Linked DNA regions of Bombyx mori. The protein of the gene in region 1 purifies or fractionates together with the protein of each later gene. This does not show direct contact. Links are inferred from orthologs where the notes say so. Each region holds a gene or a part of one and is shown on either strand. Other genes may lie near its edges.

Evidence for each region. The genes of interacting proteins can lie anywhere in the genome.
Region 2: the proteins of Tm (region 1) and inhibitor of Bruton tyrosine kinase purify together in Homo sapiens (affinity purification with mass spectrometry; 3 studies listed by BioGRID and IntAct, with this or other methods). This does not show direct contact. The link is inferred for Bombyx mori from reciprocal best matches to the Homo sapiens genes POP7 and IBTK.

The regions. Positions count from the first base shown.
Region 1 is NC_085114.1:11,854,783-11,859,967, reverse strand, and holds Tm (Tm protein), read right to left. Parts: upstream 3,295-5,185; 5' UTR 3,294-3,294; intron 3,223-3,293; 5' UTR 3,222-3,222; coding exon of another isoform or gene 3,053-3,221; intron 2,887-3,052; coding exon of another isoform or gene 2,774-2,886; 5' UTR 2,761-2,773; coding exon 2,353-2,760; 3' UTR 2,064-2,352; downstream 1-2,063. Other genes in the region: uncharacterized protein LOC101738502, read left to right, coding at 1,013-1,161; uncharacterized protein LOC101739983, read left to right, coding at 4,528-4,589, 4,716-4,843. UniProt on the Homo sapiens protein: Component of ribonuclease P, a ribonucleoprotein complex that generates mature tRNA molecules by cleaving their 5'-ends. Also a component of the MRP ribonuclease complex, which cleaves pre-rRNA sequences.
Region 2 is NC_085125.1:10,563,615-10,569,383, forward strand, and holds part of inhibitor of Bruton tyrosine kinase, read left to right. Parts: intron 1-2,067; coding exon 2,068-2,202; intron 2,203-3,311; coding exon 3,312-3,609; intron 3,610-3,961; coding exon 3,962-4,084; intron 4,085-4,429; coding exon 4,430-4,706; intron 4,707-5,197; coding exon 5,198-5,396; intron 5,397-5,769. UniProt on the Homo sapiens protein: Acts as an inhibitor of BTK tyrosine kinase activity, thereby playing a role in B-cell development. Down-regulates BTK kinase activity, leading to interference with BTK-mediated calcium mobilization and NF-kappa-B-driven transcription.

The DNA.
Region 1 (5,185 bases):
CACCAGGACAGGTGGGCGAGCAAAGACTCGGCCAAGAGGGGTGGGATTTTCTAACAGCTGCCTGAGCGCCTCCGAAGGAGACCTAATAACTCAAGAGCAACTGCTTCGCGAATGGATCAGTTGTTCAGTGTTCCTTGAAGTAGTCAGTTGTGCGGGAGCCAACAAACTCCTCAAATACATTCTGTAATGCCTCTCGGGTATAAAATGTTAGCCCTACTATGAGATTTTCAAACTTTGTGTTGCTGTATACGTGCAACAGGGAACTGAGACTGGCCAGAGATTCTCGAGTTTCTCCATCATTGTGTCCAGTTCCTCACAGTACACAACCGTAGTTAATACTGGTGCTATTTGATAAGAAGCGGTGATGAAATTGACCGGCAATATATTATCAAACAGTACCCATGATTATTTTAGGGGAAAGTTTTCGTTTGAGACATTCCTTATCCCGTTTGTGCGGCATTGCCACTGCGACGGAACTCTTATTCCATAATTACTCGTATTTTTATTGTGTCCATATTAATAACAAATATTAACACAATAAACAACTGACTGAATTTCAATATAGAACTTCATAACAGTATATTAAAAAATATATATTTGAATTTAGAATTTATTGTCATCCTTATATATCTAATTTAGGTTTCAAATGGCCAGTATTGTAAAAAGGCAACTTCATAGGTAAAAAGTACTAATTATTATGCGTGAAATCAGCAGTTTTAAGAGAAGGCTGCCAGGCAATGTGAAATAAACAAAACAAGTATTTATGTTTTACTTTTATAAGTTTCTAGCTGTATTTGTGTTTCCGCTTTGGAAGGACTGCAACTATCTGCCCTGTATCGTGTATTATTACGATAAGATCTGTTCTGGATTTGGTGATGAATAAGCAGAGCTAGTCTTTATTTGATTAAACTCTTTACTCTGTTAATAAAATGAAGTTCAAACATAATATTGTCGAATAGCGTTTGCGCATATGAACTGTCTTACTTTTTTTATAAATATGTTTAATTTCCAGGCCTCCGAAAAGCTGGACTTTCATTATTTGGGGAGTCTACAAAATCAAAGAATGATGCGAATACCGAAAATAATGGTGAAGGTTTCACTTTTAATTTTAGCGGAGAAGAAAAAAAGAGCAGGGGAGGCTTGTTTAGTATGTTCCATTAAAAATTATTTCTGTTAATATCTGTGCTGGATATAATTTATAAGTCAAAATAACTAAATAAATAAACATAATAAAATAATCTACAGTTTTTTAATATGTTTCACATTTAAATGCCCAATGCTTAGGATTTTCTTCTGCAGTATTACTGGTGTGAAAGTGTTCTATGGTCTCATGTTTTACAATTATATCAAAACTAAAGCATCTATACATTCATGAGAAAAGTGTTACAGCCTTTGCCTTTGCAAGAAAATCAAACTGATTACATTATTTTATGTACTTTTTATGTGAAGTTTGAAACAAGTTTTGTCCAATAGATCAATGATGTTAGATGTTTAAATCTTACTAGTCATTACTCTTGTTTTTTCGGGCCGAAGGCCAATCTCCCACGAGGTCCCCGCGCCTAGTTGGCGCGCGGGGTATGTGGGACTTGATCTGCAGGTCTTGGGAGCAGACCGCGGCTAAGGAATTTTATGGGCCCTACCGCACTAAGCGACCCCCTGCACTCTTACACCCGACGTCCGATCTCCGTCCGGAGTCAGAACCCGGTCAGACTAGGGGGGTTCCCGCGGTCAACACTACAACCAGACACGCGGCGCCACCCCCGAGGACGCCAGACCGACGGGCCGTCGAGGCGATTTTGAAGTCGTCCTGGCCTAAAGGATAAGACGTCTGGTGCATTCGTATGTAGCGATGTCTCGATGTTCGAAATTCGAATCCCGCAGGCGGGTACCAATTTTTCTATTGAAATACGTACTTAATAAGTTTACCTTGTGCAAATAGCACTTTATGGTACATAGGCAAAGACAGAAAGTATAATTATACAGCCTTTAATCTCAAACAGTCACATTATATAAAAAAATCATTAAAAGAATATGAGTCTTGAGGTTTTGAATAAAAAATAGTATTTAATTAGTTGTTTAAATTTTATTGCTATGTCATAAATGGCCAAAAAAATCAGAAACAAATGGATATGAATTTAAAATGTGTTTTGGTTTCAGGTGTAAACATTTTCAAAGTAACATAAGTAAATAGCTCTCTATTTGTATGTCTCAGTCAGATTATGCTACAAAGCTTATTTACAATAGCGTAGTTGTCAGTTTACTTGAAAAAAATGAAACATACAGATATAATTATGATTATAGTACAACAATATTTATGTCCATAAATATAAGAGCATCTTTTGGTTAAGAATGTTATTGATGTAATTGACATGCACGTACTGCTATCAATTGTAACAATATAAATAATGGTGCAAAAACTTCACTGTATTCTATAGCCGAATCACCTTGTAGTTTTCTACAAAGTAAAAATTTGAAAACAAATGTTAGCCCTAAAAATATTCCACTCCAAGATGCTCTATATAAAGAAGCTTTATAAGAATTTTCCAGATTCATTCTTATGCATACAATACAGCAAAAGTATGCATTCATCGCATCACTCACAAACAAAGGTGCAAATATTGTCCACCATGCACTATTCAATACACCATCAATTTTAAGAGCTAACAGTACAGAAAATATAGTGAGCGTTATAAGATTGATCCATATTTCAAATACAGTAAGTCCAATCCATTGCACAATCTCATTTAGTGTAAAAAACATTATCACCCTTTCACTAGTTTTGATTAGATCCGAGCATTGCTGTCCTAAATATTCTTATGTGGATGGATGATGAATGTCGTATTTGTGAGCCAAAATCTAGTTCATCAGTCAGTGGCTCTAGATCATCTGTAAAAGATTAATGGCATATAAGCAAAGATATGATAGATTTATTTTTCCGATGTATTTATTGTAAGTTAGATTTGACAAAACCATTCAAATGAATATAGTTACTGGAGTGGTATACTTAGTATTTGTTGCTCACTATATAACTTCAGGAAATTTGGTAACTCACCAACTAGGTCTACAGATCCAGTGTTTACTTCGATTTGACAGGTGCCTGAAAATAGAATTTCCAGCTGAAGTGCCAAATTACAGCATCTCTGTATTGCCGCGCCTAGACCATGAAGTATTATCTCCTTTTCTCCTCTTGTTAGTAAATCGCAACATTTATCTAGTTGTGCCTGTAAATTAAGAAATATTTAATATCAGTGCTTACATAGTATAATGGGATGTTTTGATGTTTTTCGGTTTTACTTTAAAGTTCGTCTTCTTCGTAATAAACAACACATTGTCTCCATTTACTGGCCTAGGTGGTAAACGCTTTTTAAGAGCATAATTCTTATTAGGATAGCGTTTTTGCTTTTTCTTCGTTTCTTCTTTCTTCTGTAGACTGTTAGGATCTGCCATCACATCTGCCATAATATTTATAACCTCTGAATATTGACAGGTGTCAAAACTGACATAATGCCAAATCAAACCGTTTAATAGAAAAGTCACTAGGTACCTACCAACATAGGTACCTAATTAAATAAACCTGAAAAATACAAAATTAACGAAATCAATTAATTTCCATAACTTTTGTCATCGCCACTTACGTGATTATTTGGATGATGTTACCTGAAGAATCTTTGGCGGGAATGAGAGGAGAGAGTTGTGTGAATTGTGTTATTTTGTTAATTAAGTGTTTCTTTAGGTTTAAATCTGTAATAACGGTGGCTTGTTAGCTGTTTCATTTAATTTCATTCCATTTGATTAGAGTTGCAAATTAGAACACTTCATCTCATTTCGCTTCATATCATTTTTCACATAACAGATTACGTACCTAAATTAAACGTACACAATTGAAGATTCCTATAAACTCGACATTGGCAACAATAATTTAACGCAGCCAACAAGCTAATATCATTTAATAATTGTAGTGCATTTTTTTTGCTTAGGTGGACGGACGAGCTCACTGCTCGTCTGGTGTTGAGTGGTTACTGGAGCTCATAGACATCAACAACACAAATGTCGCCATACATACCGACAAACGAGGATGTTTAGTAAAAATAATTAACAAAGCTGACTTGCTTAATTTTAATTTTGTAATCCAAAACAAACTCAACTTTTCATAAAATCGATAATTAATAATATAATATAATTATTTTAAACATTAATTTTAAATTAAGCTTTTATATAACTATCAAAATATAAATATAATAATTTATTAAATCGATGTATCGGATTATAGCAAGGTTGATGCTAAAGTTGATGCAAAAATAGGAAATTAGTGTTTTAAGCCTGTTGACTTGTGTCACCGATGCTGACAAACAACAAGCAATCATAATCAATACGTTTTCGTTGTTGGATGATAACAAAATCATGTTTGCAGAATTTTAAAAATTGTTGGCTTATTTATCTGAATATCAAATGGATTGACAAATGATTTCATGAAATGTAGTTGATTGTACTCCTAATCATTTAAAATTTTATGTTTAATGAATCAAAATGGGTTGTGTATGTTGCTCGTTAAGTTCTTTTGTATCCATAATTCTTGATGCCCTGGAAAGGTAATTTTTATGTCAAACTTGTTTTCATATAAAAATTCTAAATGACGATCAAGAATTTGTCAATGAGTACAGATTTTTTTTTTCTTGTTGATATACCTACATACATAAAACGACTTCTTTTATCAGAGTATCATTGTGGACAGTATGCGCAATGCTAACATGTTGTTTGATGCTGACCATTCTAACCGTCACCATCATGGGCATCGGGATAGGCTACCACTACTGTTTCGTTCAATCATCAGTGGATGCAATGGGTAAGAAAAAGCATTTCGTATTTGGTGTAGATGTATAAAAATGTGTAATGTTTTGTTGCTAGTGGTAGGGTCTTGTGAGCGCGAACGGGTAGGTGCCCTGCCATTTCTGAAGTGAAGCAGTAATACGTTCCGGTTTGAAGGGTGGGGTCGCCGTTGCACCATAGCACTAGGACTCAGAACTCATGTTTTCAGATGGTTGGCGGCGCTTATGTTGTTAATGTTAATGGCCTTTTTTATCGCGTTCCAACCCGGCGGGCTGGTTCTGACCCAGAGGGGAATCCCGGAACACCAGCGGCATCGCCCGGACGGGCCGCCGTACTGCAGAGACCGGCGTCATTGATC
Region 2 (5,769 bases), on another chromosome or scaffold:
GCGACGGCAGGGGAAATCGTATCGAGCGCGTTATTGGTAGATCAGTCGAACCCTGCGCCCCGCACCGCGCCCTCGTTCCGCTCGCTCCCAAAAGTACGCTTGCGTACAGTGAAAAATCTATCGTTATTAATCGTTAAGTTAATTGTTATAATTGCCTGTTGACTTTGTTGCCATTGCTATTTGTTGAGTGTTTGTTGATTTTTTATAAAAAATACACTATGCCGCGACAAACTGGTGTAGTAATCAAAAGAAAGGGTAGAAAAATTGTGTACGACGTATATTGCTTCATTATAAAACAGGGGAAGAATGATATGGAAAAAGTAAAACAGACTTCGGAAACAACAAAAACATCAGTGAGTACTGTTAGGTGCATTATTAACGAAGCTAAAGGCTCTGGCTTGCTCGCCGTGTTTGGGACACCGGGTAAGAAAAGATCTTGCAGCGCCGTGTCCTGGTCGCAAAGATAGGACCGGACTTGTCGCTGCCTGGCGTCGTGTCGTCGATGCTTGGCGGTGACGAGTCCTGGAAGGCTATGCTCGACTTCTGCGAGTGCACCATCTCGCAGAAGGAGGCGGCGGGGCGAGTGAGGCAAAGCTCTCCTCACTACGCAGAAACCCGCCGCCGCCGAGCAGGGGGTCGGGACCGGGGTATCGTCCGTAACCCGGCCCCCTAAGAGCTTCGGGCTCCACCCGCTTTGTGCGGGGAGGAGCTTAGGCGTGGGGCGGCGTGGTAGGTCGCGTTCCCCCGACCGCTCCGGGGGAAGGTGTAGCGCGGCGCTATCAATCGGGCTCTTGGCCCGTCGACCGAGGGAACCGGCGGTCATGTTGCTGGCGGCCGCCGGTCCGGCGTCTGGGGGACGGCGGGATGGATGTAATGTGCTCTGCGTAAACCCTGTCCCGCCGTCTCAATAACTCCGACTGGGTTCCCACCCGGTCCGGGGTAGGGCGCCGGCTGTGAGCGGCAGGAGTTTTTAGTGAGGTTCGACTCCCACATACCCCACCTGCCGTGCGGGTGGGGATCCGGCGATTTTCTCCTGTGGAAAAAAAAAGGGAAGAAGAAAGTTACCGGAATGGATAGTTTCGTTCAATCTGTAATAAAAAGATGTAATCATAATAACTACATAACAAGCAGCGAAACTCCGTAACGTAGAAAGGCTTCGAAAAATTTAAAGAAGATATACATTTTAATGGCTCGGAATGAAGTTTACGACGAATTATGAAAGAGCTAGGCTTCAGATGAAAAAAAAAACAGAAAATAATCGGAAGCTGGTAATTGAAAAAAGTAACATTCGATTACTACGAATCGAATATCTTAAAAAAATAATTAATTATAGACCAAAAAGAAGATCGAACGACCGAGTTGTAAACTACACCGATGAGCCCTATGTCGACTCATCACGATGATGGCGACTCGGGTGATGAAAACAGTGATGATGATGATGGTCAAGATTATGATAACGAAAAAAAAATTACAAATACCAGCTTCGCTTCAACTGAACCAAGACCTGGCAACAGCTCTAGTTTTGACTTAATAGAAGGAATATCTATTTTACCCCAAGATTAAATTATTACAATTATTAACCTATATTTTTTGTTGATGTTCTAATAAATATATAAATAAATACATATGTTGATTGTAATAATTTAATTGCATTATGACGCAGCGTAAATAATGTTTTTGCACGTGAGTGTACCATGCGCAAACTTACCCCCACTACGTCAACAAATGCTCAAGAAGTTTGCCGGCTATTATACCAGTGGTGTGGATTGGGAGAGGCCTATGTCCAGCAGTGGACGTTTGGGCTGTTGATGATGATGATGATGATACCATTGAAATATTATTTATTTTTCATTTAAATTTTTTTCAATTTTTTTTTATATATTTAATTGACATCTGTCCTTAATAAATATACCAAATTTCGAGTTATCCAACGTTCCGAAGGGAGTCAAAATCATGTTCAAAGATTCCGTTACATACTAACATACATTGTATACGTCTGAAGCTAATAAGAGCGTATTAAAATAGATAATATTACTTTTCATAATAATCAGATCAGATGATTTTCAGACAAATAAACCTGCGTCAGGTGTGCGTGGAAGCGCGGGTGAGCAACCAAACCGGCTTCACGCGAGTCACCGTGCTGCTACTGACCAACGTCGGACAATTACTGCTCTGGCAAGACACCACTAACCAACTCACAAGGTGTGCCCCAGTTTTTTTTTATCTATATATTAATACGTGAAGCAAAAACTTTGTATCCCTTTTTACGAAAATTGCGCGGACGGAGGAGTATGAAATTTTCCACACTTATAGAGAATATAGAGAAGTGCACAATGCTAATATTTTTTTAAAATAATGCATAAAAGATACATTAAATCAATAAAGAAAACATTACACACACTACATACAATGTATTTGACGCACACACTCATGCATACTATTTATTGTCAAACTTTGGTTCTTGGCGTCTGTTGTCAAATTGAGAATAGATTAAATATTGTTTGTCTTTTGTTAATATTTTTTATAGTGTAGTCTTAGCGAAATTTGTGATTATAGAAGCATAAAATACAATCATAATAGTGTACAAACTGACAATTCCAATTAATTATAGTCGAATTTCGACTACTGCGGGACCTCTATACCCTATGCCCTAATATACATCGATATTATTGACGATATCTGGTTTCATGAAAATTTTAATTGAAGGCTAACCGAGTAATTGCAAATAAATATTATTATGTTATTTACTCTTATTACTGACACATAAATAATGTTCTTCTGCCAGACCAATAATACTAACTCAGTTATGTACTTAAGTTTGATGGTAAAAAGAGCCCGTTACTTACAACCCATTTCGATAAAGCGGCACGACACGAGACTCCTCTCACCGTGGCCACCGGAAACTACATACCCGATCCTGCGGACCAAATGGTAAACAGTCGACGTCGCCCAAAACACGTCATTTTGGATCCTCCCGATCCACTAACGGTGCTTTTAGGTACCTCAAGCACCGATCACAGTCCTCGTCAAACCCATCCCATGCGACGAAGGGCTCGACGAGTGAATTAACCCACAGACACAGCCCACCGAGTTTCTCGCCGGATCTTCTCTGTGGGTCGCGTTTCCGATCCCTAGTAGATTCTACGAAGCACTGCTCTTGCTAGGGCTAGTGCTACCAACACTCCCGATTCGAACCCCGTGAGCTGACCTACTCGCCCGGTTACGCTGACATAGCATCTAAAGGTCATCTAGTTAGGTAGAAAAATATATATATATATTAAATTGAAAGCAATTTTGTTATGTTCTTCCAGATGCGTATTTGGTCTCCAGCATCAAACCATCATAACTCAAGCCGTTCTCACGCACGAAGCTCTGTATTTCACGACTAAGCACGGCGAAGCGTTCGTCGGCTACATATCGCGTAAGACCTCGCCCATAGCTCTATCTCAGCCAATCAGGAAAGAGAAGGAAAGAGACAACAAGAGCACCCTTGTGAAGTTCTTAGAAAAAGGCGACTGTACTTCTGTCAGGATAATGAAAATACCGAATATATATCGTGCCGTCTCTATTGCAGTCGATGGCGAGGGATTAAACTTTGCCTGTCTACAGGTAATATTTTTATAAAAGTTAAGTTGCTCTCATGTACCGTCCATTCCCTTGCTGCTTTCAAGTTTTTTTAATTGTTTTTTTATTGCATAAATGTGTGAACGATCTTACAGCCCACCTGGTGTTAAGTGGTTACCGGAGTTCATAGACATCTACAACGTAAATGTCACCACCCACCTTGAGATATAAGTTCTAAGGTCTCAAGTATAGTTACAACGTCTGCCCCACCCTTCAAACCGAAACCCATTAATCATGCTTTTCAATTGTATATGTATAAAATACGGCCGTCGTTTCAAAGCCATTGGGATGAAATAAAAATCGTGTGTGAAATTCATTGTGGTTCGATTAATTTCAGATCAAACCCACATGCGGCTTGAGGTCTGTGCCGGAACTATCCCCGACGAGTTTGTCGAAGCACATGGAGTCTCTACGCGAAACTGCCGCTGTAGACGACTTACTGCACGACGTTTTGTTTAAAGTAAGTCTTTATTGTTACGCCGGTAAGAGTAACGCCATCTATCGCCGAATAGTCGAACGAATATCGAAGGACCTAGTAGTGTCTCGAACGCTCGAGAAGTACAACGCCATCTATTGTCAGATAGCGGAAACACACAGCACTAGACTAAAAAGCGTTGTAGATATGGCACGCAGTCCGTTAGTACACGGAACTACTCGAAGCGAAACAGCGATCAAAACAAATTTAGGATACAATCTCACCGCAAAGTCTTTGTTTTCAACTATGATTCTTTTACATTCGGCATTAACAATCAGTTGTTTTAAAAATGTTATACAATAAAAGTAACAAAATAAATATTTATTACAGGTAGGCACGAAACTGTATCCCGCCCACATCTACATTATAGCAACGAGCAGTGAATACTTATATAAAATGTATCAAGAGAACCTAACGGACAACAACGAGAAACCAATAATTGCATTAAACAATATCCATCCCGACGTTTTCGATAGAATATTAAAATACACTTACACAGGGACATGCGATGTTGCGGAACTGGGCCCTTGCAGTTTGAAGATTAAAAAGGAAGATGTCATTGGAAAGAAAGATTTGGATGATATTGATATTGAAGTAGATGTTATCGGTGAGTTAAGTTTTATATTATGACGTCACACCTAATGATACTGTACAGATGTGGTTCGGATATATTCTGCGACTTTAAAAAAATAATGGTGCGCGTGCAACTTCGTGCACGTGAAAGAAGTGAAACTTCTTTTGCGGTGTGTGGTATTGTGGTTTTCTTAATTTTTCATCCTTAAATCAAATTTCTCTTGTAATAGGGAATTATTTGTATAAGAGAAACAACCTAGCTCGCTTTGTCCTTCCCCTCTACACGATCGAGTGGTACGCGAGATGCTCTATATTTTCACTCTCGCTCTTCCTAAATTGTATCTTTTCCTTCTAGCCTTAAAGAACCTGTCGCGAGTTAAATTTGACTCTCAACGCGCCTAAAGAAGTTTCACTTCAGAAAAGAAATTTCGGTTTCTTATCATGCAGCATTTGTCCAACATACCTACTTTTTTTTTTTGAGACCTTGATGCTTGGACAAAATCACACATTTATTACTGTAAAAACTTGCAGAGAACTCGTCCGAAATATCAGCGTACGAAGTCTACAGCAAACAAAACGAGAAATCGACCAGGAAATCACGTAATCGCCGCAGTACTGACACTCCGACCAGACAAAACTTGTACTGTGACCCCGTAAGGATGGTGCAGGCCGCGGCTAAAAGGCTCCACGTTAAGGGACTACAAAAACTTCTTGATAAGTTCTAGTATGAATCCGATATTTTTAAACTCAATACTTATTATAAATCGTTGCCAAGTAATTCATTCATTAAAAAAAAATGGTTTAAAGTTAGCCCCTGGAGAAAGCCGTATAAAACAAAAATCATCTATATATTAATACGTGAAGCAAAAACTTTGTACCCCTTTTTACGAAAATTGCGCGGACGAAGATGTATGAAATTTCGCACACTAATAGAGAATATAAAGAAGGAGTGCAGAATGCTAATATTTTATTTAAATTATGAATTATTAATACATTAAATCAATAAAAAAACATTACACACACTACTGTGTATTTGACACACACACATTATAAATACTCTTTATTTACTGTAAAATTTTTGTTATTGCTTAGAGTCT